Linked DNA regions of Coturnix japonica. The protein of the gene in region 1 interacts with the protein of each later gene in a biochemical or structural test. Links are inferred from orthologs where the notes say so. Each region holds a gene or a part of one and is shown on either strand. Other genes may lie near its edges.

Region 1 (6,250 bases):
CAGAGCACAAACTGGTGGATGTGAGGCAATGCAAAGCCTGGCCAGGAGACGGGAATGGAGTGATGGACATTTGCATTTGGACTGAGAAGAGATTTGAAAGAGTTCAAGAACCATTGAGAGAGCTTCAAGTTTTCCAGTTTAGGCGTTTACTTTGTGCTTGGCTGTTTTATTTATGCTCCAGAAGAAAACAGAAAACCGTATTCTCGCATTTGAACCTTTATACCGCCACACTGTTGGTTAAGTTACATCAGAGGAACAAAACAAGCCTTACAGGCTGGAAAATAGAGCAGTGACACTCGGACAGCAATAAGGTGGGAAGCTCCCCCCTCCTCCACAACTGAGCCTGCAGTGGTTGGACACCAGGCTCAGCTCAGCTCAGCAGGGCTCCCAGTCAATGCTCTATCCTCCAGCACCATGAACCCACTCGGTCCCACTCACACCCCACACAGAGATATACGTTGTTTGGAACCAGATTCAAAGTTACTTTGACATGGTCCAAAGTTACTTTGACATGGTCCAAAGTTACTTCGACATGGTCCAAAACATTCAATTCCAGAAGTGAATTCAGCGTTATTTTGTATGTGTGTGTTAATCTTCCCATTCATCTTTGGTAAGAGCTCCATACACAATGGACTTTGCACACAGAGTCAACGCTGCACAACCGTAGCGTAATGCCCCAATTTCACATCAAACTTATATCCTTGAGGAAAAAAAAAAAAGCCATTTTCTTCTGGTTTTGTAGCATACATTCCTAGAATTCCCCAATCGAGTTTAACTCCTTGAGGAAATCTGAAGTTAATCCTTAAGGCTGAATCAGAACCAGCTGCTTTAGTATGTTTTGCGGCCAGCACTAACACTTGATTGAGACCTCACACTCATTACTGGCTCTGGGTGGGGTTTTTCTGCCAGCCACACCTGCAGGCTGTGGCACGGCGAATGAGCTGCTTGCCCTTTAAGAACTAATTATGGAAGTTTACATTCATAGTCGTATTCTCACTCTCTCCACCCCGCTCTCATTGGCAGTTACTCAATGGGTTTCAGACAGCCAACACGGTTCCCTTCCTACAGCACTGCAGCAACAACTCAGGGCCGACGCTGCACGGCCATGCAGGAACTCAGCCCTCAGCTCAGCCCCGCTGCACAACCGCAGCTCGAGCAGCCGGGCTCTGTCTGTTCTCTCCATGCCACACATTCAGAAATGAGAAACCCCGTGGAGATTTAGATGCCTTAAGGTGATGCCAAAAGTGAGAAATCCTTTAAGATCGAGAGGCCCGAGGATGAAGCAACGTTGCCTTCATCCCGGGGCAGGCAAGTCAGTGCTCGACTTCTGCCCCAACCCGCCAATTTGGAGTAAAACTTGTTGCAACGCTTGCAGGTTATTGCTGCGTGTTGCTGGAAGGAACCTGTCTCACATCGAACTGGAGACTGACCGAAGGAGTAAAAACTGCAGCTAAACATCATTAAACTGGCAATGCAAGACAGAAACGGAACAGTATCTACCCTGGAACTATGATTACATCATTCGTGTTTTATTCGCTATATGGTCGCCATGTAGGATGGGGAACTCATTTGCATCCCTTCTCATGCATGATGTATGGTTCAGAACTTCACAGCTGACATTTCAAAGCAGTTCTTACATTACCTAGTGAACACGATGCCTGATATGCACTTTGAACGTGTTACAATGGTATTCCTATCTGCCACCGCGGGCAGGAATTGGTCTCGTTACGAGGCTGAGATACGGAGCCAGACCAAGAGTCACTGTTCAGTTACAGATTAACAGAACTTTACAAAAAGTCCTTAATATAAAAAGACAGACTGCGGTTTGATTTGAAGCAAGAGTTTTCCGTTTACTAGATGAAGTCGACCTATCAACATATTCCGCATGAAGGCAAAAGAGTAGCAATCTACAGCAAAGTGAGAGAGGAACAAAAAATATCATCAAAAAAGTCGAACCAGAAAAGCATACACTGAGAACGGCAGCCCTCCCCCAGCCGGCCCCAGAACAACCAAACCATCTCAAGGGCTTTGAGAGAGAGAGAGAAAAATAAAGTTACTTAGCAAGTCTACAATGTGTCTTTCCCCTGTTTGCCGAGGTCTGCCATAGCATCTAGTGCTCGTGTTCGTGTCACATTCGGAGGTTAGAGCATCCTAACGCCAAGCGAGGAGAGTTAAAACAGGAATCCAGTCAGGTGTGGAGAAGGAAAGGGTGGTCATTGGAGAAAGGTGATCGTAATCCTATGGATGCTTTTGTTTTACTTTTCTGTAGAGAATCATTCTTCCGGAAAGCCGGGCGGGTCATTTATTCTTTTTTTTTTTCTTTCTTTTTTTTTTTTTTTTCTTTTCTCTTTAATTCTTTGTAGACTAAATAGTTACTCTCATTAGGATTTATAATTGGACGTTAACCATGTCAGCCCTTCGTAGAGTCCGTCCCCTGTAGTAGCACACGAGGGCTGCACGTACCAATTCCTATCCCTGATCCGGGTCAGGCCCAGTTTCTCCTGGATTTCGTGTGGTTTCATGGCATCGGGCAGGTCCTGCTTGTTGGCGAAGATGAGGATGATGGCGTCCCGCATCTCCCTGTCGTTGATGATGCGGTGCAGCTCCTGGCGGGCCTCGTCAATGCGGTCGCGATCGGCGCAGTCCACCACGAAGATCAAGCCCTGCGTGCCCGTGTAGTAGTGCCTCCAGAGGGGCCGGATCTTGTCCTGCCCCCCCACATCCCACACGTTGAACTTGACGTTTTTGTAAGTGACCGTCTCCACGTTGAAGCCCACGGTGGGGATGGTGGTGACGGACTGGCCCAGCTTCAGTTTGTACAGGATGGTGGTTTTGCCGGCCGCGTCCAGCCCCAGCATCAGGATCCGCATCTCCTTGTTGCCGAAGATCTTGGATAGCACCTTGCCCATCTCGGCGGCATCCAAGGGCCCGGCGCCTGCAGCGGGGCGGGGACGGGGGGAGGGGGAGGTGCGGGCGGCGAGAGCCCCCGGGCGGCCCGAGCGAGCGGGGCCGGGGCCGCGGCTCAGCGGGAACCGAGCATGGGGCGGCGGCCGGGGGAGCGGGACGGAGGAACGGCCGGGGGAAAGGAAAGGAAGGCCCGGCCAACGCGGGGGGGTCCGAGGGCCGCGCCGACGCCGCGCCCCGCTCGCCCGCCGGTCCCGGAGGGCGGGTCAGCCCGGATCCCGCTTCGGCTCCGCCCGGCTCCTCGGCTCCTCGGCTCACGTGCGGCGGGACGGGCCGGGACGAGGCAGATCCGGAGCGCGGCTCCGTCCCGTCGGGGCCGGCCTCGCTCGGAGCCGGTTCCGCTCCGCTCCGCGCCGCTCCCTCAGCCCGCACCGCCGGAAGGCGCCGCGCTGCCCAAATCACTTCCCCTCCGCCCGCACCGCGCATGCGCACCGCGCCCCGCCCCGCTGCACGCGCACGCGCCGCCGATGGGCGGGGGGAGCGGAGAGCTTCCCGCCGCGCGGCCTCGGGGCGGCACCGCGCATGCGCAGAGCGGGCGGAAGGAGCCCCGCCCTCCCGCGTGGGCGGAAACGTGCGAGGAGAGGAACGGCGGGACCGGAAGTAGCGGGGGGGAACCGCGGGGTGACGGGGGGAGCCGCGCATGCGCACTGCGGGCCGCGCAGCGTGACCCCAAAGAGGGTGGGGCGGCTGGGGGCGCAGTGCGCATGCGTGCGGGGCCGGGCTGCTGTGGGGAGAGGAGTCACGTGATCGCACGTCAGAGGGAACCGGGAGCGTCTTAAAGGGACACGAACAGCGCGGGAAGGGACCGGGCGGATATGGGGGGCGGTGTGCGGTTAGAGAGCTGAGATGTGGGAGCTGTGCTGGCTGTTAGGCCCAGTCAGGCCCTCAGCCCCGTGCCCGGTGCTGGCTGTCGCTATGGAGCTGGGCGGCTGCTCTGTGTCATTGCCCAGCTCCACACGTGGCTGCTCTGAACTAACATGGCTGCACACAGCCCGCACTGTGTCCATGGGCAGCACCGCAGCTCGGAGCTGCTGCTGGCCGTGCCGTGCTAAGGCCTTTGGGACGGAGCGCTGCGGGTGTAATGGGAGCTCACCATGAGCACCCACAGCCCACAGCCCCACCTGGAGCAGTGCTGGCACCTCACACACCCTCAATAAAGCTCCACTTCTCGTGCTGCTGGTTGATCCTCAAGGTCAAACACCCACATAAAGCCCTCGCGATACCTGAGCGTGTTCTAGGTGACCCCAAGTCCTGCCCTGCTCACAGGGCTTGGCCTTCACCGACCTGCTAAAGAATTCAAGGCTTGCCCAGGTCCTTGGGAGGGCCCGACCTGTTCATGTTGAAGGCAAACATTGCAGGAGGCAGCACCCGCTGTGTCCCTGCAGGACGTCCTGCTGAGCTGCCAGCGTGGGACTCCAGCCTTGAGAGCATAAAGTAATTAGAGCTATAAAGTGATTAGAGGCTCAGGAGATCTGCAGATGGCTGCAGGGCCTGCTGCTGGCTGGGCCTGGCCGCAGAGCTGCCTGCTCCTTATGGCTTCCCTCACCAGCTGCACAGCTACCAGCGTGTGATGCTGTGTCTGTCATGGTGTGTCAGCCTGTGTTTGCTTGTTCTGTCCTCCAGCCACGGTGCAAGTGCTGTCACAAGAATGTGGTGGAAGACAATGATAACTTCAGCTTTGTGTCATAACCAATAAGCAAACTTCAAGGAGATGGATGGGTCAATACAAAGAAGGGATACCCTTTCTTTTTATCACTCAAATATCGTTTACCCTCCCAATCAATGTGGGTTGTCAGGACAGCCCTATTTTAATATGCTGCTGCTTATCTTGCTTACTATTTTTTGGCACAGTGAGAAGGGAAAAAGAGGAAGTTTTTCCCCCAGAGGGTGGTGACGCACTGGAACAGGTTGCCCAAGGAGGCTGTGGATGCCCCATCCCTGCAGGCATTCAAGGCCAGGCTGGATGTGGCTCTGGGCAGCCTGGGCTGCTGGTTGGTGACCCTGCACACAGCAGGGGGTTGGAGCTGGATGAGCACTGTGGGCCTTTGCAACCCAGGCCATTCTGGGATTCTATGATCCTTCATAGAACCTTCATAGAACTATGCATTCATACTTTGCCCTTAGTGTCTGTGTTAGCAAAGCTCTGCTGTGAAAACAAGTAACATCCTTGTTATCACAGCTTTATGGCAGTTTTCTTATCACCAGGAGATCTGATACAGTGGGGCGAGTGCCATGTCCAAGGGGGGACAATTCAGAGTAGTGCTTTCCATGGGCAGCTGCAGTCAGAGAGTGACGGAGGTGGCCCCAGGGCATCTCAGCCGTATTTCCTGCCATTCTGCAACATCTGTGTTTGTGCAGCCGCAGCGGGGCTTGGCCAGGAAGCTGAAGCTTCAGCTCGAGATGCAAACGTTATCAGTAGTGCAGCATTAAACAGATCCTCAGCTTCTTCCTGTGAGGTTTTATGTAACAGCGCGAGGGCAGGACTCAGGGTGGGAGTTGAGTGCTGTGGTTGCAGCAGATCTGTGAGCCCTGGTGTGTGCTGGGATGGTGTAGTGAGGACCATGGAGAATTGCTGGCAGTCCTGCATTCCTCACTGGGAACCTTGTCCTGATCTCCGTGGATATCCTGCATCCATCTGTGGATGCAGAGAAGAGCCCTTGGAAAGTGCCCTCCCAGCAGGAGGAACAGTTTGACCTCCAGGCTGTTTGGGTTTGGTTTGTACCTTGAGTGCATCACTGTGCCTTTGCACTTAGCGCAGACAATCAATTTTTCTTGCATTTCCACACCCCAGTGGTAGCTGAGCAGTGACATACAGGCCTGGGCTGGGCAGTAGCTTCTGTCCTGGACACCTATGAGCTGGTTTTGGACCAGGCCATTGCTGACACCAGGATGATCTCAGACACATCAGTATGTTGCTAAGCACGGAAGCAGTATGGCGATGCTAAGGAGCTCTGGGCATTTAGGCTCTGCAGAAGCTGTGTGTTATAGCCCTCCTTCTGAAGGTCTGTGGTTCCCAATACGTGGCTCCATGGGGCAGCTGAGTTCTCCCATCTGTGAGCAGCCTCAATCTTCATTACAGGTGACATTTGGAAGCCAGAGGACATGTCAAGGGGCGTGCTGCAGGGCTCTGAATCTGTGTCTCAGCCATGTTCCAGCCCTCCTCAGTCTACCAAGCTTGTCCCTACCACATTTTGTCAGGCAAAACAGGTGGCTTCACCCCCTGATATCTCAGTCCCTCTTGATAGTTTTCAAATGCACCAAAAAGCCTGCATTCATGGTGAAAAAA
Region 2 (4,686 bases), on another chromosome or scaffold:
CGGCTGCCCCGGGCTGTGCGGGAGAGGAGCGGGAGGAGGAGGAGGCGAAAGAGCGGGAGGAGGAGGAGGGGAGGGCGGCAGGGGGCGGGGGCGGCGGGGGGAGGTACTGCCCGCACCCCGCCCCGGCCGGATCCCCCCCACCCATATCCCACGGGCGTGGCGTTGCCGGCCGGTTCCGGGGGTCCTGTCCTCTCCGGCCCCATCGCCGCTGTTCCCGTCACTGGGGGCTCCTCCATCACCCTTGAAAGCCACGGGCAGAGCTGGGGATCCCCTCCCGGGCCCCAGGAGGGCAGCAAAGGGGTCTTTGACCTGCCCTCCCCCCCCTCCCCTCTCCCCCAGGGCTTCTCCCAGCGCTCGGCTTGGCTCTGTTGGCTGCTGGGGGGTGGAAGCTTAGGGGTTGGGGGGGAGGGGGGGAGTGAGGATTTTCTGTACTCGCAGCGATTTCCTGCTTGGAAAAGAGGAGAAAAGTACGAATTTCAGGCTGTGCATTTAGTGCTGGGGTTTACCGGGCGTTTGGATCCCCTGGTGCTGCATCCTGGAGCATCCATGTCCTTGTCCCAGAGCATCCTTGTCCTGCATCCAGGAGCACCCACGGGGATGGACCAACCGGTCCAACTGTCCCACACTGAGCATGTAGCAGCGAGCAGCGCTCCAGGACAATTCCTGCAGCCCTCAGTGAGCTTCGGAGCCACAGCTGCACTGCAAAGCCATAAACCCATGATGGGTAAACTTTTATTAATGACATTTAGGGTTCTCCTATGGCATGGTGGTGTGCAGGGACCCAACACTGGGGGCTGCTGATACGGCCCCATAACCAACCCCAGGGGGATTCGGGGAGCACTGGAACACAGAGATCTCTGCAGCAGAGCTGGAAAAGGTCCATAGCATTCAGCATCTCTGACGGGAGGGATCCCAGAAGGGTCTGGAGGCATTTCAGGGGCCTCACAGAGGGCTCAGGAGCACTTGAGACCTCGCAGGGCCCTTCAGAGGAAGGCTTGGAGTGCTTTCGAGCTGCTGCAGGATATTTCTTTCAGCTATTTCAAGGAGTTTCAGAAGAGTTTGGAGGAGCCTGAGAGCTGCTTGGAGCACTTTTGGGGCCACACAAAGGGAGGCTCTTGGAGCAGCCCAGGTGCTCAGTACTGCCCTGGATCTGTAGGGTTGGAACCACTCGGGGCCTTTTGGGGCTCCCCAAAGTGCTGAGCTGATTTTAAAGGATATTTTTTTTGTTTAAGAAGAGGAAATAATCCTGGCATGTTTCAGAGCTGCTCAGGCCCTTTAGGGATGCTCGGGGAGGTTTTGGAGCAGCCAGGAGCGGGATGGAGCAGTTTGCATCAATTCAGAGGGGGTTTTGGAGCCCTTTGGGGCAGCTTATGGGGGCTCAGGGGAGGCAGAGAGATGTGCACAGCTCAGCAGAGGGTTTTAGGGCATTTCCATGCCCAAGAGTAGGATTTCTATGGCAGTGGAGTGGGTGGAGGAGCTCACACAGCAACCCAGCAGGCTGCAGGTAAAGGGAACTCCATGTCCTCACCCACATCCCCATAGGGCAGCAGGACAACATAGGGGACAAGGACAGCGCTGGCTTTGGAAGTCCCTCCGCTCCCCCCATCCCACCCCACAGACCCTAAAGCCAACAGCAAGGAAAGGTCGATGACAGGAATGGTAACAGCATTTAATGGGACAAGAATCGATACATCATTTAAGACAATACTGCTTTCACCCTTGTGGGACTTTCCTTCACATACCGGCGGGGAGAGAGGAAGGTTTATTGGGAAGGACAGGTCGGTGTGGATTTGTTTTTGTTTGTTTCGTAGGGGCTTTAAAGCATGGTGAATGTGCAAGTCAGTGCTTTGTTTGCTTAAAACCTTTTTCCTGGTGCTTATTTACAGTTACAGTACCTCTGTGTGAGCAACAGGAGAAAAAAAAGACGATTGTAGGAACTGGGGATCGACGACCCCAAGTCGAGAAAGGCAGATCTCCAATATTTATATATTTATACACATATATATATATATATATATATGGTTTTGTGTTATACACAGATACATTTCTCTCTTCTTTAAAGTGTTAAAAAAATGATCGACCTTCGTTCTATAAAAATACCTACTCTACAAGATAGAAAAATTTCCCTCTCCATGTATACACTGATTTACACCCAAAGCTTCTCCATAAATGTACACCACGTGGCTCCGTCCCCAGGCTGGGTGCAGGGCTGTGTCAGATGGCCACAGTGCTGGGACACGGCGGCGGCTCCGGGCTCAGCTGCAGGCACAGCCCCTGGCTGACCCATAACACAGCGATGCGCTCGGAAGCATTTAGGGGGTGGCTGCTTCTCCCTTGTTGTTGGGCTGTATTGATGTTTCTGGAGCTTGGTTAGCAGAAATAGCTGCTCCATGGGCCCGGTGCAGCAGCAAAGGTGCCAGATCCTGGGGCAGTGTGATGAGTGGCTGCTCCCGTGGGTGCACCTCGCTGTGGTCACCATGAGCTGCCCACTGTGAGCATGGTCTGTTTCCCAGCCAGCTGGCACTGTGTTCAGAGCCCTCCTGCCCCTTGCAGCACAGGGATTGGTGATGCTGTGTGCTCAGAGCTCAGTGCAGCCACCCCTTCCCCAGCACAGCGTGAGGAGCAGGTTCTCCCTCTGGGACAACAGCCATCACTGGCAGAGCCCCGCTCCGTGCTGGGACAGCCAGGACAGCACACAGAGCTCAGCCCTCACACCACAACCTCTGCCCCAATCCCTGCAGGCAGGATGGAGGGGACGGCTCTGCCATGGGACCCCCACAGCAGCGTCCCTCCCTGGAGCCACAGACAGCGAAATAAATAAGGAGGTGGGTGACACTGCACTCACACCCTGTCCCGAGGATGGCCGCTCCCCTCTTCGTGCCACCAGCAAGTGAGAAGCTGTGCACGCCACCCGTTCCCAAGCAAAAGCAGCAGGGCAAGGATTAACTGCGCCAGCTGGATGAAGACATTTGCATTAAGTTAATTAAAAAATAATAATAATCATCATCATCATTCTACAAGTCCAGGACGTGTTTCCCTCTTTCCCAGATCTGCCCCAGTAAGTGAGTGTGTCATGGACACTTTGGCAAAGCTGGGCAGGGCAGTGGGGGGGGAAACGTTCCTGCTCCATCCCGGTCCCTGCAGTTCAGAGGAATCCCTCCTCACACCCGTGCGGGGCCGACCCAAATCCTTCCCGCAGTTGCCTGTTGCCTCCATTTCTCCTCCAGGTTCCCTTTCGCCCTTTGAAGCCAGAAGGGTTGCAAAAAATAACGGAGTCAGACAACAGAGCCTCACTGCTGGCGCTCTGCCCCGCTGCTGCGCCGGCTGATTCAGCACCGATCCGACGCGACGTTTCCTTGTGCCTTCATCAAGAGCAAAGACGTTGTGAGTCCCTCTTCCTCCTCTCAGAGCACCAAATCCACAGCCATGGCAGAGTGCGCAGCTTGCGGCTCTCGGCCGCCCTTTACTTCACTTCCAGGATGGAGGGGTTGGTCTCCATGATGGCCACGATGATCCTGTCAATGTAGTCCTGCAGGCGGAAGTTGATCTCTTCTTGCTTTTGAATTGCTTCCATGAGCTGCGAGGGAGAGAAGGGAGAAGTGGTCATTAATGTTTGGGGATGGGAAAAGGGCACCGATCCGTGTCTCCATGCCCTCAGCCAACAGCCCTGCTCACCCCCACCCCTGGACCTGAGGTTTCCAGGACAGTCCGAGCTGCTGGGCTTTAAATGCAGCTGCAGACAGGCAGACACACACACACACACACACATACATGTGACTGATGGTCCAGCCCAGGAAGAGAAGGCAAAGCAAAGCCACAAATTGGAAGGCAGCAGCTTCCCCTATTCCCATGAATTAGGGCAAGTCCCAAATGCTCTTTAAATCATTGCGTTCTGTCTCATGACAGCTTTCAGGTGAGGTTTGGGAGCGAGCTGTGCTGCAGCCATGGCCACATGGGCTCCTGTTTGCTGGGTGGGAAGGGGAAGCCCCAGGTACCCCAGGGAGACACGATTGGAAAGAAGCAGCTCACTGTGCACAAACCTCATCTCTGGAGACTGAGCTGATCTCGGCCGCCAGGGATTCAGAGAAGGAGGCTGAGAAGAGGTTCTTGGCTCCCTGGATGCTCAGGTTGATGATCTGCCCGTTCAGCTCATCGTTCTGCTCCTTCAGGCTCCTGTTATCCTGTTCACAACAACCACATGTCAGGTGCTGCGTGGTAACCCAAACACACCTGTCCAACCCCAATGGGTGGCTGGGGAAGGCAGGGGCTTGGCAAGGCACTGGGAACAGCACATGTTCTGCTGACTCTGACTGGAGAGCCTCTGGAAACATGGGGCAGGTCTAGGGGATGCAGCATACAGGGATCCTGCATGCACATAATGCACTTCAGAGGAAGGATCTGAATTTCCCTGTCCCTGCACAGGGGAGCAAGAAGCAGCAGGATGCTGCATCCATCGTCAGCTCGTGGGAGGGAGAACCCCACCAAGCAAGGAGGCAGGCAAAAGGGGAAACAGCATCTCTTATTGCAGAGCGATTGCAGAGACTCTTTCCCCTTCCCAGCCTCACCTACCTGCTTAAGCTGCTTAATCTCCTGCTCCAGCTCCGTCTCTCTTGTCCTGCTGTTGTACTCCTGCAGCCCCATGCTGCTGCTCCGGCCTCGCCGCTGCTCACATTCCAGTTTGAAGAG
Region 3 (5,539 bases), on another chromosome or scaffold:
ACTGGATGGGAACTAATTCTGCCTAATTTTTACTAACATTTACAGAAGCAAAGCTAAATATCAGCTACAATACCATAAGATATTTAAGAATTACATGGATTATGACTCACAGTTCAGCCCCTTGTAGGTGATTAATATAGCAGACCTTTCTTCTCGTTTGTACTGAAATCATTTGCAGCACAGCTCGCGTAGGAAAAAGCAGCAGCCTGTGTGTTCAGTGTCAATATTGTCTGGCTGTTATCATCCCTCAACTTTGAGAAATGAGTTTTCCAGTAGCAAGTGGCTATAGTCGAAATAGAAGCCAGACAGTGCCAGGAGAAAAGTGAGGTTGTTTGCAAAGGTTTCTATAGCTGCATGGTTTCAGGAGTAGAGCTGTCTGAGTGCAAGGCTGTAACTTACGAGAGGTTTCATCCAGCACACTGGAAGTTTATTTCCCAGTTTCCACATTTCTACATGGTGCTGACATCGGTTAGCGTATAAGGCTGTGATTCACTGCACTAATTGTGCAATCACTCCAGCATCTGGAAAGGCAGTGTAAAGCTGCAGAAACCATCCATTGCATAAGGTGAACATAAACCCTTCCTGACACTGCCTGCCTCCCTGAGACAAGCAACAGGGACTCCTGCTGGCCAGGTTCTGCTGCCAAGGAAACCCCAAAGGGCCCGAAGCCCCAATGGATGGGAAATATCTGGGAGATGAGGACTGGCATTCCTTCAGGCAGTCCTGCAAACCTCCAGGATGTGGGCAAAGCAGGAAGGCAGCCCACAAGCAGCATCAGAGAGGCAGTATCACATGGTGACAGAATGGAAGAGAATGGCTTCAAGGCATGCCAGGGGGGTTAGAATGGATACTAGGAAGAATTTCTTCATGGAGTATGTTGGTTGAGCATTGCAATGGGCTGCCCAGGGATGTGGTGGAGTCCCCATTCCTGGATGTATTTAAGAGATGTGTGGATGTGGCACTAAGGGATATGGTTTAGTGATGGAATGTAGCTCATAGTTGGACTGGATGACCCTAAAGATCTCTTCAAGTCCAAATGATTCTATGGTTCTATGCCATCCATAGCAGTAATCCCTAGTCAGAATAAGGGATCTTTGTAACAATGAGGGTGCTCCACCACTTGCTCTGCAGCCCCTTGCAGGGAGATTCTGACAAATTTGCTCAAAACAAAGATGATTTATTTCCCTAAACCTTATCATTATTGTGTGCAATTCCCATTGGGGTTCCTTGGTCAAATGTCCTGCCTAACAGAGGCCAGGCAGACTTTTCCATCTACACAACAGCTCCAGCCTCCCACTGAAAAGATATTCTGCAACACTTTCACATTATCCAGGAAAGGTGAATATGCCCACAGAGCAGAAAACATGGAGTTGAGCAGCACTTTTTCCCACTCAAACTTGTTTCGGAACATCTCTTGGAGATTTGCCCCATGGCAGTATGGAGATGCTGTTGGGTTTATTGGCAGATGCTTCTTACCTGCTGAAGCAGAAAGACCAGGTGCTTCAAAGGGCTCCTGATGAGCTCAGAGCTAACTCTGAGGCCTCAGCTGAGGTGCTTCTGACAAGGTAGGACAGTACACAAGTCCTTCTCAGCAATCATGCCTGCCTACAGACTCTTTCCATAGTCCTTCTTCACTCAGTTTTCCCATATCCCTGGTTACCAATCTTGGCCAGCTTCACTTCTCCACCTCCTCTCCTGAAAGGCCTTGGGATAAAACATTTATTTTCTTGATACTATCCAGGTACAACAGGAGAAAAATCTTTTCTCATTCCAGGTGTTATTTGCCCTTCCTCTCAGCCTCTCAACCTGACAATGCACAGATGCACAAGCATCACTTGCCTCTTCTGGCAAGGTTTATCTATAGAAAGCTGCCTGCCCCTACACCATCCAGGTTTAGAGCAAGGACAAGAAGTCTGGAAGGTGTGACAAATCTGTTCAGAAAGAGAACAGGTGCACGTTGTTGAGTGCAAAAGTAGTTTATGCCTTTTCCCTGTGCAAACTATCCTGGCTTCACAGAGAGGCTGCTAGGAAGACATGCTTCTGAAATCCAGCCCTCACTTAATGCTCTCCAGAGACTGGCTTCCTCTTTGAAAGACCAGGAAAAAGATAAAACTTGTCCATAAATACCGTATGGCTTATTAGAATCAGTCACATTACAGCCAACCAAGAGCACCAGGAAATAGGACTCCACGGTGCTTAGAGAGAGTAAATGTAATTAGGCACAGACGTAACTCCTCTGCCTCTAATCCTTCTGTTGCAAACTTGGTTGTAATGTGTTTCCAAATGAGCCAGGCACTGCCTGAAAAAATTATATCTTCACACAATATCAGCTTTACCATTGTCCTATGCAACACACTCTTGGGCAGCTTGGGTAATATGCTAAATTAAATCACCAACAGACAAGGGAAGGTTAACTGCAAAACATGCCCCAAGAAGACCTACTGGTGGTTCCTTAGGACTAGAAAGGACCTTAGAATGATGGTCTTGCTTAACTTGTGCCTGCTTAGCAACTTGGATAGACTATGAGCTTGTACGATTTTCTAAAAGCCCAAGGTAGGAGAGGCAACAAGCACTCAGAGGAACAGGATCAGAATCATCAATCCAAAAAGAGAAAGTCTAAAATGAACAAATAAAATTTAGAGAGGATAAATGCAAAGTTATCCACTTAGAAAGAGATATCAAACCAACACCTGCTGGGGAAATTAGTCCAGGCTTCAGAATGTTGAAACATATCTGACTGTCAAAATGAATCATAAGCTAAGTATGCATCATAAGTATGATGCTTTTATACAAAAGGCACTCATCATTCCAGGTTAGATAAGTAAGAGCATTCCCTGCAAGACCCATGAAACAGTTGGGAGGCCTTCTCAGCAGCATGAAGAACAGCATCCAGCATTGGTCCCTGCAGTCTTAGCAAGATAAATTAAAAAGATTCTGGGGCAGAGAAACAAGAGGCATAAAAGTTCTGTAAACATCATCTGCAAGCAGAAGATAAAGGAACTAACTGGCTTTGCTTAGTCTGGAATAGAAAAAGATAGACAAGACGTGATAGCCATCTTCCAATAGCTTTCAGTAAGGACAGTAATCAATTATTCTTCATTACCAGTGGAAAGAATAAGGAAAAAGAAAGGCTTAGTTTGCAGCAAAGAACATGTAGGATTGATACTGATAAACTCTAGCTTTGGATCGCTGTCTCTGGAGTAGCCTAACAATATTCACTGATGATATTAGAATATCCTTCTTATCTAAATATGTGGAAATAAGTTACTTAAAGGTAGGTGTCACAGACATTAATGATATGTAACTAAGCATATTTCCTTCTCCAGCTGCCACCAAATCTGAAGTTTCAGTTTCAGAACTGAGAAGACTTTGTAGATCAACAGGCATTAATAACACAGTAATCACACTAATGAAAAATTCTAATGGAAAACTGAGAAATTCCACACTTGCAGTGACAAAATTCTTTCTCCTTCCATAGATTTGCTGCCAATAATTCTTGATTACAATATCAAACATTAGGAGAAATAGAGAAATTGTCAGACAGCTTCCTTACTGCCAGCTTGTCCTAGGAGTACATGTGCAGTCAGAAAAATGCTTCACAACAAAAGATGTGACTACATCACATTATAGCTGATGTCAACTTTCTTTTGTGCAGGATACACATGGCCTCTGCCTAGGAAGCTCTGTGCCATTTGGATCTACTTGGACGTGCTTTTCTCCACTGCCTCCATCATGCACCTCTGTGCCATCTCATTGGATCGTTACATTGCCATTCGAAACCCCATCTACCACAGCCGGTTTAACTCAAGAACAAAGGCTTTTGCCAAAATAATTGCTGTTTGGACCATATCAGTTGGTAAGTGAGCAATATTGCAGTATGTAATTGCTGATTTCTAGCTTTTGAGATGCTAAGACAGATACACATCTCAGTCTAAAACTGTGTTCTCTGACTGCAATGCTTTTCTTGCCACAGCCACAGAAGTGCTGTAACATAGTAATTAAGCAATATACAATCAGTAATGACAACATGAAATGGAGTTGAAGCTGAGCAACACAGTTATAGAAGGAATAAACATCTGCAATAAGACTGTTAGGTTCAGTTTTGTCTTAAAAATGTTTTTATTTCCCACACTGATTATCCACCATTGCCATAACATCTGAAAACAAAAAAATGATATTGACTGAAAAGATTTCCCTGTAAGTGCATTGACAGCAAACTTATTCACTCACTGATCTCACTGCAGCCTTCCAGTACCTAAAAGGAGACTACTAACGGAAAGGGAGTCAACTCTTTACAAGTGTAGACAATGGCAGGACAAGGGGAAATGGTTTTACGTTGAAGGAGGGAAGATTTAGGTTGGATGTCAGGGGGAAGTTCTTTATACAGGAGAGTGGTGAGGTGCTTGAACAGGCTGCCCAGAGAGGCTGTGGATGCCCTGTCCCTGGAGGTGTTCAAGGACAGGTTGGATGGGAAGCCTGATCTAGCATTAGAAATGGAAGTCAGTGGCCCTGCCTCCATTGGTGGGGGTTGGATCTTGATGGTCCTTGAGGTTCCTGGCATCCCTCTCTCAGCCCAGTGTGCACTCCAGCATATTTCTGGGTTAGAATATCTGAATCTTCTGCAGAACATCAAGTGATAGTGGTAGCTCTCTCTCAATAGCAGGGCAGTTGTGCACTCTCCAATGTAACCCAGACCTAGTGAGGTCCAACAGCATCACATGGGGCTCATAGCATGTCCATCTGACCAGATGTAGATGTCTTGCACATGACATATGAACACCACCCTAAGAACACCTAGCTCTCTGTAAACTACACAAAAAGCCTAGGCCAACTAATTCTGCTGCAGATGTCTCCCTTTAGATGACATGAATCATACATTATGTTTCTATAGCCATAGAATCATAGAATGATACCCTCTGTACACCATAGTCCCTCTGCTTATTGATCCAGTAGAAAACACATCATCATCTCTGTTCTTTCTTTCCCAGTCTCAGGCATTGCTAAGTGTAAGCATTCTCTGCACAACATAAAAAAGTGAAGCATTCATTAAGTTTGTCTGTACTGCATTTGTTGGTATTAGTGTGTGGTGCCTGCACTAACAAAGTCACAGAAAGATCAGAAGGAGCAAATCAAGGGTCTGTGCACCTCAGCAGTTTTCTGTAGACAGTGACTTGCTAGCAGAGCTTCTGAATAAGATCACTATTTAAATGAATTTAGAAAAAAATCTATTACTTAAGCCCTTTTGGTTAGGATATGGTTTATGTCCTACAGCAGGAGCGGTTTGCTCTTTGATATCTTGAGCCACAGATTTTTCTTGTTATCACTGTGGCAAGTAATCAAACATAGACCCTATTTAATCTGAAAGATGTAACTCCTTGCTTTACTGAAAGGCACACAGTGTGGCATGAGTGAAGATGGTATCCACTTTTCTGCAGATGGATAAGGACATATGCAAGGCAGTGGTGGATGTTTGAAAGATGGGCTGATAGGATGAGCTCTGTTTCATTCACACATAGATCATCATCAATAGAACACGGAG
Region 4 (5,515 bases), on another chromosome or scaffold:
CCCTTCCTGCACACTCATCCCTGTGTCCTGGTTGCTCCTGCCCTCGTGTCCTTCACACCCCCCCCACCTCTTCCCTCTGCTCACCTCCTGCCAGCCCCTCCATTTCCAGGCTGTCTTGTCCAACCTCACTCACCCCGAGGACCATCCATCTCCCCCAGTGCATCTGCCGCCAGCAGGATGGCCAGCCAGGCTGGTGCTTCAGCAGGTACTGCAGCCACCCCAGCGCCCCATGGTGCGACACAGCCTTTGAGTCCTCCTGTCTCAGGCTTAGGGCCCGGGCTTAAGGCTCCCGTTGTGTGCAGTGTTTCTCAGGGTCAGTTTCTTGCCCTGCTGTGGTGGGGAGCAACCCAAAGCAACCCAGACCCAACCCATGCCTCCCCCAGCAGCAGAGTCTACTCACGGTTCTTGTGCTGGGGGCACACGTGGCACTTCCAAACCACAGTGCACCAGGCAATGAGGCCGAGCTGTGCCTGGCTGTGGGATGCACTGTGTGTCTGCCTGGCCTCTCCTCCACCTCTACCATGCCCCGGAGCACAAGGAGTATTGCCTAGCACAGGAGCACCAGGGCCATTGGTGTGCAGGGCTGTCCCTGCCAGCAGCTCTGCAAGTGAAAGGGGGAACAGCATCTCCCATGTGGGCAGCAGCCAATGCAGTGAGCACCAGGGCCTTGGTTATCAATGTCTAGTAGGGTTTTGGGGGCCAGATTCTGTGCTGCAAGAGGCCAAGTCCTGCTGCTTGCAGGCAGGTGACAAATCACAGGACACTGAGGGCTCTGTTGAGCCTGGTAGCAGTGCCTGACTGGCAGGGGGGAGCCGCTGCCTGCCTGCATCTCATGGGGCTGCCCAGGGTGGATCTGCCTGCACCAGGAGTCTGCTCTGCTTGCACTTCATCAGGCCGCAGTGTGGCCCTGGGAGCAGCAGCCCTGAGAGCACTGCAGTGTGGGGTGGGCAGCCTGGCCTGCATCCAAGCCCTGTGCTGAGCCTCACTGCTGTGCTGTGTTCCAGGCTCTGGGCTTCACCAGCCTCATCCCAGCCCACCGGTCGGAGGGGAGGAGGTTGTTCGCGGCATCGCTGTGGAGAAGTTTGACATTGTCAAGAAATGGGGCATCAACACATACAAGGTACGTCGCATCCCTGGCTGATCAATACATACAAGGTATGTCACATCTCTGGCTGTGCAGCAGGGCAGAGAACTTGGGCAGGGGACAAAGGAGCAGTGATGGATGGGGAGCACATCTCGGCACCAGTGCAGCAGCCCTACAGGGATGGGAAGGGACCAGGCCCTGACACCCCTTCCCTCTGCTCTGCCCGCAGTGCACCAAACAGCTGATCTCAGAGAGGTTTGGCCGGGGCTCCCGCACGGTGGACCTGGAGCTGGAGACACAGATTGAACTGCTCCGGGAGACAAAGCGCAAGTACGAGTGTGTGCTGCAGCTTGCACGGGCTCTCACCAACCACTTCTACAGCCTGGTGCAGACACAGCATGCCCTGGGGGATGCCTTTGCGGACCTCAGCCAGAAATCTCCTGAGCTGCAGGTATTCCTGGTGGGGCTGTGGGTTGTGCCTTGTCTCTGCTCTGCCTGGGGAGGAGACCCACAGTGACCCTGGGGTCTCTGCAGCACGGCCTGGGCAACGCTCTGCTGGTCAGCACCGCTGGGCACGTGAGGGAAAGCGGGAGGAGGCTGAGGGCAGGTGCACTGTGTGATTGCTGTGGGGCTGGGGAGAGGTGTGGGGCTTTTGCTGCTGGCTTTTCCTGGGCACAGCTGGAGCAAGGCTGGGTCTGGGCAGTTGGAGGAGGGCAGAGACACAACGGGATGTGCTGCCGCAGCCCCTCACCCACCTCCCTCCCTACTGCAGGAGGAGTTTGGTTACAACGCAGAAACACAGAAACTGCTTTGCAAGAATGGTGAAACACTACTGGGAGCTGTTAACTTCTTTGTATCCAGTATCAACACGCTGGTAAATAAGACCATGGAGGACACGCTCATGACAGTTAAGCAGTACGAGACAGCCAGGTAGGACGGCAGTGTGGCCCGCAGGTCTGGCTGCAGCTATTGGAAGGAGGGACTGCTCTGCAGCTCTTGACTTTTGCTGTCCCTGCGCAGGCTGGAGTATGATGCGTATCGCACAGACCTGGAGGAGCTGAGCATGGGCCCCCGGGATGCCAGCACCCTGTGCCGGCTGGATGCAGCGCAGAGCCAGTTCCAGAGCCACAAGGACAAGTATGAAAAGCTGCGAGCCGATGTGGCCATCAAGCTCAAGTTCTTGGAAGAGAACAAGGTGGGGAAGGCTGCGGGGCACAGGATGGGGCCCTGTCGTGCACGCGTGTCCCTTGGCCCTGCCTTGCAGGCTGCGCTGCCTTGCTGCTCTGTGCTCAAGGTGCGTTTTTGGGGAGCTGTGAGGGGAAGAGCAGGTGAGCTGCCACGCTCCTGCCTTCCACCCGCAGTGGGTGGTCACCTCCCAGCTGGCTGCTGCAGCTCTGTGCTGGGCAGACCTTGTCCTGGCCCATTCCTGCCGTCCCGAGGTGCTGGGCAGTGGGGCTGGGTGGCTGCGTGTTGACTCCTGCTCTCCCCAGATCAAGGTGATGCACAAGCAGCTCCTGCTCTTTCACAACGCCATTTCTGCCTACTTCGCTGGGAACCAGCAGCAGTTGGAGCAGACTCTCAAGCAGTTCAACATCAAGCTGAAGACCCCTGGTGCTGAGAAGCCCTCCTGGCTGGAGGAGCAGTGAGCCCCCCAGCCTGCCCCACCTTGTGCCCCAGCCGGGGAAGCCATGGACCATAACTGGGACCTCTGACTGCTGGTGTAGGGCCAGACCACAATCACGAGTGGTGAGCTGGGGATGCAGCCTCGGCCCTGCTGCTGCGGGGGGCACTAATGGGGCAGGGACCCGGTTAGGGGCAGGTGGAGCTCTGAGTGGGTCACTCCCCCAGCCCGTTGGAGTCCCATCCTGCCCAGCCCTGTTCTCCCTCCCCAGCGCTGACCCCTTGGTGGGATGGTGGATGCCTTCCCAGGACCCCGTAGGGCCAGACACTCCCCTCCTCAGGCTGGGCTGCTCAGACCCCACCAGGCACCTTTGTGGGACAGGGTGGGATGTGCCACAGCCCCCCACTGTCTCCCCATGGTGCAGCAGGGTACGTAGTTCCACGTGTCCCAGCTGCTTTCCCTGAGCCAGGCTTCGCAGGGCTGGGCAGGACGTGCCACCACCTCTGGCAAAAAAAATGTATATTTTGAAATGAAGACAAAGCTGCACAGGGGTGGCCCTGGGGCTGCTGGGTCCCCTCCTGGACCCTGAGAGGGGTGGATGAGGTCCCAGCCCTGGTGCAGCTGGTGCCCGGGGCTCCTGTCTGCTCCTTGCCCCAGACCTGCCCCGTCCCCTCTGGCTGATCCCTGGTGCTCCCAGGCAGCTGCTCTCGCACTCCCCCAGCCTGGCTGGTGCCCCCATCCCCACACTACACTCCCTTTGGCGATGGGGTGGTTGTGCCTGGCTGTCTCCCAGGCCGCAGCTCCCATCCCCTGGCCGGGGCTTTGCCAGCTCCCACGGGTGGACGCAGGAGGGTTTGGCCGCGGCCCTTGGGCTGAGGGCTGCTTTCCCCAGGGCGCTGTGCTCCCAACCCTGGAGGCAGGTGGGCAGCCCCACTCCCTGAGCACCCACAGGCACCTCGAGGGGTGGTGGGGACTCAAACCAAGGACCAAAGGGTGGCTGCATCCCAGGGACGGTGCATGTGCGTGTCCGTGTGCGCTGCGGCTGCGGCTGCGTCTCCGCGTGTGGCAGCGCTGGGGCCCTGCCCGGTATCCCAGCGTGGGGACAAGCTCATCCTGCTCCAGCTGAGTGTTGCTTCGAGCCCCGGCCACGTGCAGCACTTGGGCACTTTCTCCCGAGACAAGACGGTTTGTTTTTCTTGCTAATTTAATTCCTGGTAATTTAATGTCTGGATCTGACAACCTCCCCCCCCCCCTTTCCTGGTGAAGGCTGTAAGACTCCAGAATAAAACAGTATGGATCAGAATAAAGCAGTACAGATCAGAATAAAATAGTGTGGATCAGAATCTTGTGGTGTGGATCCCTCTGTGCACGGCACAGACAGACCTGAGACGGGGATTCCCTGCATGCCAATGGCTCCCCGAGGCCCAGAGCTGGTTCTGCTGCTGCAGTTCTTGTCCCACTTCTCCCTCTGTGGGTCTGGTTCCGTGTGGGGCCCAGCATCAGGGCTCGCCCTATTCCCCTGCCCACCCCAGGGTGCTGCTTTGGCTGTGGGTGCCGTGTGGCCGATGGAGCCCTGTAAGCACCGGGGATGAGGGGGACCAGAAGAGGGGAACGAATTGTGTTACCATCTCCAGCATCGAGCCGAGAGCGCCCTGGGTCGGTCTGACACCGGGTTTAACGCCATCAGCGGGAGCTTCGTAGCGCGGCGGAGCCCGAGGCTGGATGGGAGGAGCACAGAGGGGAGAACGGATCTCGGAGCAGGACGGGGGGAGCCGGGGGGGCTGTGACCGGGGGAGGGCGCGGGGCGTCCAGGTACCGTCGGGTGCGGGCGGCGGGAGCGGTGCCGGGTCGGTGTTTTGTCCCGGTCCGTCGCTGCCCGGCGCGAGGTGAGAACGGGCGGAGGGGCCCAGGAACGAGCTCGTGTCGAGGCCGCTGAGCCGCCCCGCTCCGCCGGGCTGGGACCGGGGCCGGTACTCGGGGGAGCGGCGGATCCTCCCGGGGCGGAGCCGAGGCGGGGCGGGGCCGTTCGGGGCCGTAAGAGGAGCCGGGCGGCCGCGCTCACCCCCCACCCCCCGCCCCGGCCATGGACTCGCAGCGCAGCCCCGCTCCTCCGCCGCCGCCGCCGCCGCCCCCGGCGCTGCCCTCCCCCCCAGCGGCCGCGCGGGGCGAGCGGCTGCGGGCGCTGCACTGGGAGCCGCTGTCCGCGGCGCGGGTGCGGGGCCGCCGCTCGGTGTGGGCGACGAGAGCCCCCCCGCCGGCCCTGGACCTGCCCCGTCTGCGGCTGCTGTTCCGGGAGCCCCGCGGAGCGTCCCCGGGGCAGCGCCCGCCGCCCGCGGTGAGATGCGGCCGGGACCCCGCGTCCCCGTTACCGCGCCCCGCGCTCTGACCGCGCCGCACCCGCAGGCAGCGCTGCTGGAGCCCAAGCGGAGCATCGCCCTCGGCGTCCTCCTGAAGCAGCTCAAGCGGTGAGCGGGGCTGGGGGCACCGAGGGTCCGGGGGCACAGAACGGGACCGTAACGGAACGGGGGCGCGGCGGGGGGCTCGAACCTTTCGAGAATGTCCGTGCTCCTCGGGGGTCCCATCGCTGTTCGTGGGGGGGTGGGAGGAGGGGGATTGAGGCTCCGTGCCCCTCGCGAAGCGCTGACGCGCCGTCTCAGCCCGGTGCGGCAGATCGTGCGGGACATCGAGGAGGGCGTCGGGGCGCCGTACAGCGCGGAGCTGCTGCTGGAGCTGACCCGGCTGCTGCCCGGCGCCATGGAGGTGAGTCTGGGGCTGGGGGAGCCCCCGGCCGCCCCCTCTGACCTCCCGCT
Region 5 (6,079 bases), on another chromosome or scaffold:
GGCTCGGCCCGACTCGTTCCCGGCGTTGGGCAGCGTCAATGACCGCGTTGATTCGGAGTCGTGCAGGTGGCGGCCCCACCACCAGCACCGTGTGTCGGTAGGGAGTAAATCCCGGCTGGCGGCACAGCTGTGTCCCCCCGTGTCACCCCATCCCCGGCACGGGGCGGCTGTCCGGGATCGGCCCGTCGGGGCGCCCCGGTTGTCCCAGCGCTGCGTCCCGGACTGTGCCCGGCCCAAGGGTAATCCCACAGCACCGAGGGATTACGGCTGGCGCTGCCCTGGAGGATTAAGGGATTTCTCTAAGCGGGGTTGATGCGGGCTCTGCAAAGCGGCTTGTGCTGGGGGCCCGCGGCTGGGGCAGCGCCGGGGTGGGCTGGGGGTGGGCAGCCCATTGCCAGCCCTGCTGTCTGGGTAGGACCCGGCAGGTGCCTTAGTATGGGGTCAGTGATGCGCTTTGGAGGTGGTGCAGCCCTGCAGCAGGCAGCGGGGGCTGTGGGGACACGAGGGGGTGAAGCTCTGTGCATAGTGGGGCTGGGGTGAGCACCAGGTAGTGTGGGACTGGGGGCAGACTGAGCTCAGGGGGTGGGGATAGTGGGGCTGCAGAGCATGCAGTGTTGTGAGAAAGGCTGTTAGCCAAGGTAGAGCAGAGCAGAGCGTGACGAGCAGCACTGCTGACACACAGAAATTGCATGGAGGCTCAAGCAGAGCCACACATCCCTGAGCTGTTGTTTCAGCCCACCCATGGCTCTGGGTGCACAGCACAGTGCCCTGAGCTGGGGCTGCAATGTGGAAGCAGAGACTGAGCCACAGTTGGTGCAGCTGTGATTATTGCAGCCCATTTCAAGTGCCCGTGGCTGCCCTCCCTGCACAGGCTCCCCCTGGCCCAGCCCTGTGTCCCTGCAGCTCCTCACACCTTTCACCTCTGCAGTGAGGAGGAGGCAGAAGCTGTTTGCTTCCAAGGGAAGGGGAAGCAGCACAACTCAGTCATGGAGGTGATGAGCACCTGTGAGCAGCCGTTCCCATCTCCTTCCCATCCATCCACAGCTGCTCCCAACACCAGGGTAACTCTTGCCTGTCCCCAGCCATGCCCCCAAGGTCCTGTGCCCATTCCCATAGCCCTTCCCCATCTGGATGCTATCTGCCCACCCTGGGGGTTCTCCAGCTCAGCCCATTGCAGCAGGCTCCCAGCAGCAGTCAGGACCCAGTACCAGGTGCCGTCTGCAGGACACGGCCTCATGCCCCGACAGGCTCTGCAGTCTGTTACTCACGGACGTGCCCCACGCTGGGGAATCACTCCTGCTCGGAGGAAGGGAAGGAGCTGTCTGTCCGGTTTGGGCTCCCTCGCTGCCTGTGGGGCTGGCAGGTTGGGGGCCGGGTGCGGTGGGGCTGAGTGCTGCCCCCAGCCCTGCTGGAGGCCCATAGCTCGGGCAGAGCCCCAGCTCCTGCTGTAGGAGCATCCCGGCTGCCAGGGCCTGGAGAATCATCTCCATCACAGCCATGATGTGCCAGCTCCAGGCTGCCCGCTCTGCATTCCCAGGTGCCTGAATCCATTGTGGCCATACTGGGGAGCAGCGTTCCCCTGTTCCCCACAACTGGGGGCTCCCCACGCCAGCTCCAGCCCGTTGTGTTTCTTTATGCACCTTCCTTTTATGCAGGGAAGGTTGCTACGCAACCAGCGGCTCTTGATGCTTAAAGCTCTAATACGGTGGGATAAAACCGCTCTAAAAATACCCCCGCCGTCAGCCACCCAGGGGCCGGGGCATGCAGGGGGGCAGAGGGGGGGCAGGCAGCCTGATACCAGGGGTGCTGTTGGGAACTTCCCTACTCTACGTCCTCCAAGTGGCTTTGAGTGCCCAGGAACACAGCAGCGTTCGGTGCCGGCACGGAGCGGGATTGGCTGCGACCGGCGCGTGGGCTCCTGCTGCTGGAGCCTCCCGCTGCCAGAGCCGCCTTCCCCTGCTCCAGGAGGAGCGGGGACACCCGGGGCAGCCCCAGCTGCAGGGAGCTGCTGTGCGGTGCCCTCCTGCCCTCAGCCTGCCCCGGGGGAGCCGGCACTGCGCAGCATGGGGACGGTCAGCGAGCTCTGCGCCTCCAGCTTCCAGGCCTTCCTCTGCCCCTCCGTGGCCACCACGGCAGGTAGGTGCTTTGTGCCCCATCCCTGTCCCCCCCAGCAGACGAGGTGCCCGTAGCTCTGGCTCCATATGGCTCATGCTGACAGCAGCACACAGTCCCAGTTGTCTTGCTGTCTCCTTCCACCGTGCGCTGCCAGGCTTGGGCCCCCCTGGGCTCTGGGTGCAGCTTGTATTGCACCACATTGCTGGGATGGGGAGCCCATGGGAGCACAGTGGGTTCACGTGGCACAGTGAGATGTGTCCAGCAGCTCCTTGCTCTCTTACCCCAGCGCTGCTGCGGGTGATGCCCTCACTGCTGCCCTACTCGGAGCAGGAAGGAGCATGCGTGGCTGTGAGCACAGCTCCAGCCCACGTCCTCCAGACAAAACCTGGCTGGGGCACCCTGACGCCTGCTGTGTCACAGCTGCCACCGTGGGCTGGCAGTGCCTGTGAGCTGCTGTTGTCTGTCTGCAGGCTCCTGCTCCCGAGCTGAGACCTGGGAATAGAGAGTAAGCAAGGAGCACATGGGGTGCACTCCTGGCACTCTTGCAGGACGTGGGGCTGTAGGAAGGCATAGCACAGTGAGGATGGATGTGGCTCCGTTGTGTGCCCCTGCTGTACTCCAGCCCCGCAGCCAGGATGGGCTCTGTGCTTAGGGGGTGCAGGAGCCTGGAACTGGTGGGCTGGGTTCCTTGCTGGGGGCAGGGCTGCTCCAAGGGGCTGAGAACCCCCGGCAGCTCTCAGCTATGGGGTGGGGTTGGGGGATTCTATCTTGGAGCCGCCCTATGCTGTGCTCCTGACGCACCTCATCTGTCTGTGGGGAAGAACAGGGCTGACGCAACCCAGGATGTGCACACAGCACAGTGAAAACAGGATGTGGTGCACTGGGGCAGCGGCAGGAAGTTTCTTGGGGCCCCTCAGCAACCCCCCCCCCCAGCAGTGGGGTGCAGCAGGAGCCCCATGGTGGAACCCACAAGCAATGCCCTGTGGTCAGCAGCCCCTGCCCTGGGCTGGGGCATCCCTGCGGTCTGTTCAGCTCTGCTTGTGGATGGAGCTGTGCAGCAGGAGGGCTGTGTCCCTGCAGCACAGCGTTCAGCTGGAAGGCCAATGTGAGCCTCTTTTTAGCTCCTTCTTCCCTGAGCTTTCCTGGGAGATGCTCTGGATGCTGTTTTTCCATCACACGCTGTGGAGCAGGATTTAGCTGAGTCAATGTGCCGGAGCTCTTGTGGTCTCCCCGGGCAGCTGCAGCGGGACAGGACCTTGCTGAGGGCTGTGCTGCTGCAGGCACGGCCCTATTGCAGGGAATGAGAGCAGGTGGTCCTTACAGCCTATACAGGCCCTGAACCCACACATGGGGGGGGGGATATGGCTGGACAGTGCCAGATCTTCAGGGCAGGGTTGGGGCTCTGGATGGGGTGGGAGAGGGGTCCCTGGTGTCACCGCCCTGAGCTTGGGACGTGCTGAGCCGCATGCATCCTGGCAGCCCCCGAGGAAGGAAGGGCCGGGCCAGCTCCAGTGCCTGCAAGGATGGGTGGGCGGCAGTGACCCTGGGGGCCGAGGAGGGGGCGCGGGGCTCTGGCTGCACAGGAACCGGGTGTTGCTGGTGCCAGTTCTCAGCCGGGCTGCGATGACGCCTGGCACAGCGCTGAGCTCATTGGCCTGGAGCTGCCCTGACTCACCCAGGAAGCTCTGGGAGGGGGCAGCTGTTGGCACCCCAAAGAGCAGCACCTCTGCAGCACTGTGCAGACGTGGGCAGCGGGACACAGCCCAGCAGGATGGTCCTCGGGGTGCAGGGCAGCGGTGAGCAGATGGGCCTGCGTGGGGCAGTGGGTGGGAAGGAGGCACGTGGGGCTGAATGCGATGCAGAGGGGCTTTGTGTCTGTTCAAGGCATGGTGTGAGCGGGGTATTTGCTCCTTGAATCCAGGATGGAGCCTTGCCATGCTCCTCACTGCCCTGGGGGTGAGGCAGCAGCTCCCCTGCATTGCTCTGCAGAGGTTGGGGGGATGGCTCAGAGTATTGGTGCTCTGTGGTTTGTGCTGAGAATCCTTGCACCCAGCATGGCAGCCTGGGATGATAGCCTGGCATGGGATGTTAGCCTGGCATGGGATGATAGCCTGGCATGGCTGCTGGATTTGGTGTTCTGCTCCAGCCCCCTCTTGCAGCCTTGTGCAGGCTCAGAGGTTGCTGCAGCTCCACTCGGTGCTATGGAAGGGTTAACGCCTGCGTCCTTCGCTGAGAAAAGCTCTGCGTCTGGGGTTTCTCTTCCTCCTGCTGCTGCTGACACGGCTGGGCCATGTCACGAGTGCTCTCCCAGCACAGCATCAGGCAGGCTTGGGGGGGGGCTGGGCTTTGTGGCTGCTATGAGTCCCTATGAGCCCCTTGCCCACACTGCCCGGGGGTGGGCAGAGGCTGTGTTCCCCCAGGGCTCTGTGCACCCACCGTGTGCCAGCACCGCTCTGTCGCTGCTGCAGCCTCCCACCCATCCACCCACCCTCTGTGGGCCTGGGAGGGCTGCGGTCTGGCACGGAATTTCACCTCCCACGCAGCCCCACGCTGCAGCTCCCAGCAAGCTGCATCCTGCAGGGTGCTGGACACAACTGGACCGGGGAGGCCGTGCTCCGGTGGGACCGACTCCATTCCAGTGCTAGGGAGGGTTTGTGCAGCCTACGGAGCAATGCTTCTGGCATTGTTGGCATAGATAGAGTTCAGAACCTGGTGCTGTAATATTGGGAAGTGTTCCATCGAGTCCAGAGGGATCGTGTCGCAAGCCGAGGCTGCTGCTGACCTTTGCAGAGGGGATTTCTCTAAAGGAGGAACCTCAGCAGAGAAGGCGAGTGGAATGAGGAAAGTGCTGAGCTGGGACATTCGGTTCGTGTGAGCGCAGCCACCCCAGAGGCACCGTGAGCCCTGGAGAGGAGGGGGGAACTACGCTGGGAACGGAGAGCAGACGGTGCTGGGGTGTGAGAGAGGGGATGGAGGGTCCTGGCTGTTGGGTTGCCAAGGAGTGACAGACTGAGGTGGACCTGGGGCAATGCAGGGTGGGATGGAGGGGGCGGTGGGCACCTGGGGACAGGTGGGGGGAGGATGGTGTGGGCTGCTTTGTGGTGCGGGCACCGATCTTGGAGCCTTGGTCGTGGCCTTGTTGTAGGATGTGAGCTGGAAGGTGATGGTAGGGCAGGGGTAGGCGGGGGCTGTGGGGGTGACCTTGGGAACAGGAGCAGCGGGTGCCACGTAACCGCAGAGCGGGAGGTCACGGGCTGGGGAGCTGCAGGAATGTTACCCATGAGCTGCAGTGTGAGGGGGGGCAATGGGAGCGTGTGGCTCAGCCCCGGCTGCTGTGGGCCAAGCAGGGCAGCCAGGTGTCCCCCCGTGCAGTGATGTGTGTTGGGGTGCATTGGTTCACCCCTGTTCCAGCACAGAGTAGGCACCAAGGGTGGCCTGGAGCCAGCTCTCTCCAGGGTTTACCCGTTGTGGATGAACATTGCTTGGGTGGCTCTAAGTCCCATTGTGGTGCCATGGCCCCGGTGAGCATAGGGGCCAGGGGCTGCAGTGGCACCAGGGGCTGGGCCAGAACTCACTTCCTCAGCTTATATCAGCAGGAATGTGGGGGCCAGGCTCCCCCCAGCCGGGGAGCACAGTGTCCATTGCATTCCTTGCGTGCTGCTGGGGGTGCTGGGCTGTGTGCAAGGCTGGGGCTCACTGGATCCTCCAGCAGCACCACGTGCCAGCTGCTGGCAGGAGCCTGGAGTGAGTGATTCCTTGTGCTGTCCCTGTCCCTTACAGTGCCCAGTGACCTGACCCCAGAGGAGTGCCAGGAGCTGGAGAACATCCGCCGCCGCAAGCAGGAGCTGCTGGCTGACATTCAGGTACAGCATTCAGGGCTGCTGCATGCACACCCACATCCCCATCCCTGGCTGTCCCAGGTGAGGCCTCTTGCTTGAGCCCAACCCCATCCAAGGACCCTCAC

The links.
Region 2: the proteins of ARF6 (region 1) and RAB11FIP3 form a complex in vitro, tested with the Homo sapiens proteins (2 studies listed by BioGRID). The link is inferred for Coturnix japonica from reciprocal best matches to the Homo sapiens genes ARF6 and RAB11FIP3.
Region 3: the proteins of ARF6 (region 1) and HTR2A form a complex in vitro, tested with the Homo sapiens proteins (2 studies listed by BioGRID). The link is inferred for Coturnix japonica from reciprocal best matches to the Homo sapiens genes ARF6 and HTR2A.
Region 4: the proteins of ARF6 (region 1) and ARFIP2 form a complex in vitro, tested with the Homo sapiens proteins (2 studies listed by BioGRID). The link is inferred for Coturnix japonica from reciprocal best matches to the Homo sapiens genes ARF6 and ARFIP2.
Region 5: the proteins of ARF6 (region 1) and CYTH1 form a complex in vitro, tested with the Homo sapiens proteins (2 studies listed by BioGRID and IntAct, with this or other methods). The link is inferred for Coturnix japonica from reciprocal best matches to the Homo sapiens genes ARF6 and CYTH1.

The regions. Positions count from the first base shown.
Region 1 is NC_029520.1:52,348,340-52,354,589, reverse strand, and holds ARF6 (ADP-ribosylation factor 6), read right to left. Parts: upstream 3,397-6,250; 5' UTR 2,910-3,396; coding exon 2,382-2,909; 3' UTR 138-2,381; downstream 1-137. UniProt on the Homo sapiens protein: GTP-binding protein involved in protein trafficking that regulates endocytic recycling and cytoskeleton remodeling. GTP-bound form plays an important role in the transport of multiple palmitoylated proteins form the Golgi to the plasma membrane.
Region 2 is NC_029529.1:11,462,205-11,466,890, reverse strand, and holds the end of RAB11FIP3 (rab11 family-interacting protein 3), read right to left. Parts: coding exon 4,570-4,686; intron 4,182-4,569; coding exon 4,041-4,181; intron 3,578-4,040; coding exon 3,464-3,577; 3' UTR 1,649-3,463; downstream 1-1,648. UniProt on the Homo sapiens protein: Downstream effector molecule for Rab11 GTPase which is involved in endocytic trafficking, cytokinesis and intracellular ciliogenesis by participating in membrane delivery. Recruited by Rab11 to endosomes where it links Rab11 to dynein motor complex.
Region 3 is NC_029516.1:150,664,800-150,670,338, reverse strand, and holds part of HTR2A (5-hydroxytryptamine receptor 2A), read left to right. Parts: intron 1-3,655; coding exon 3,656-3,856; intron 3,857-5,539. UniProt on the Homo sapiens protein: G-protein coupled receptor for 5-hydroxytryptamine (serotonin).
Region 4 is NC_029516.1:174,021,350-174,026,864, forward strand, and holds the end of ARFIP2 (arfaptin-2), read left to right. Parts: intron 1-94; coding exon 95-205; intron 206-1,004; coding exon 1,005-1,120; intron 1,121-1,313; coding exon 1,314-1,535; intron 1,536-1,856; coding exon 1,857-2,014; intron 2,015-2,104; coding exon 2,105-2,279; intron 2,280-2,574; coding exon 2,575-2,730; 3' UTR 2,731-3,972; downstream 3,973-5,515. Other genes in the region: FH2 domain-containing protein 1-like, read left to right, coding at 4,789-5,040, 5,109-5,170, 5,363-5,515. UniProt on the Homo sapiens protein: Plays a role in constitutive metalloproteinase (MMP) secretion from the trans Golgi network. May have important functions during vesicle biogenesis at certain cargo subdomains, which could be predominantly utilized by secreted MMPs, such as MMP7 and MMP2.
Region 5 is NC_029533.1:4,597,750-4,603,828, reverse strand, and holds the start of CYTH1 (cytohesin-1), read left to right. Parts: upstream 1-1,932; 5' UTR 1,933-2,063; coding exon 2,064-2,136; intron 2,137-3,606; exon of another isoform or gene 3,607-3,886; coding exon of another isoform or gene 3,887-3,911; intron 3,912-4,995; exon of another isoform or gene 4,996-5,070; intron 5,071-5,895; coding exon 5,896-5,978; intron 5,979-6,079. UniProt on the Homo sapiens protein: Promotes guanine-nucleotide exchange on ARF1, ARF5 and ARF6. Promotes the activation of ARF factors through replacement of GDP with GTP.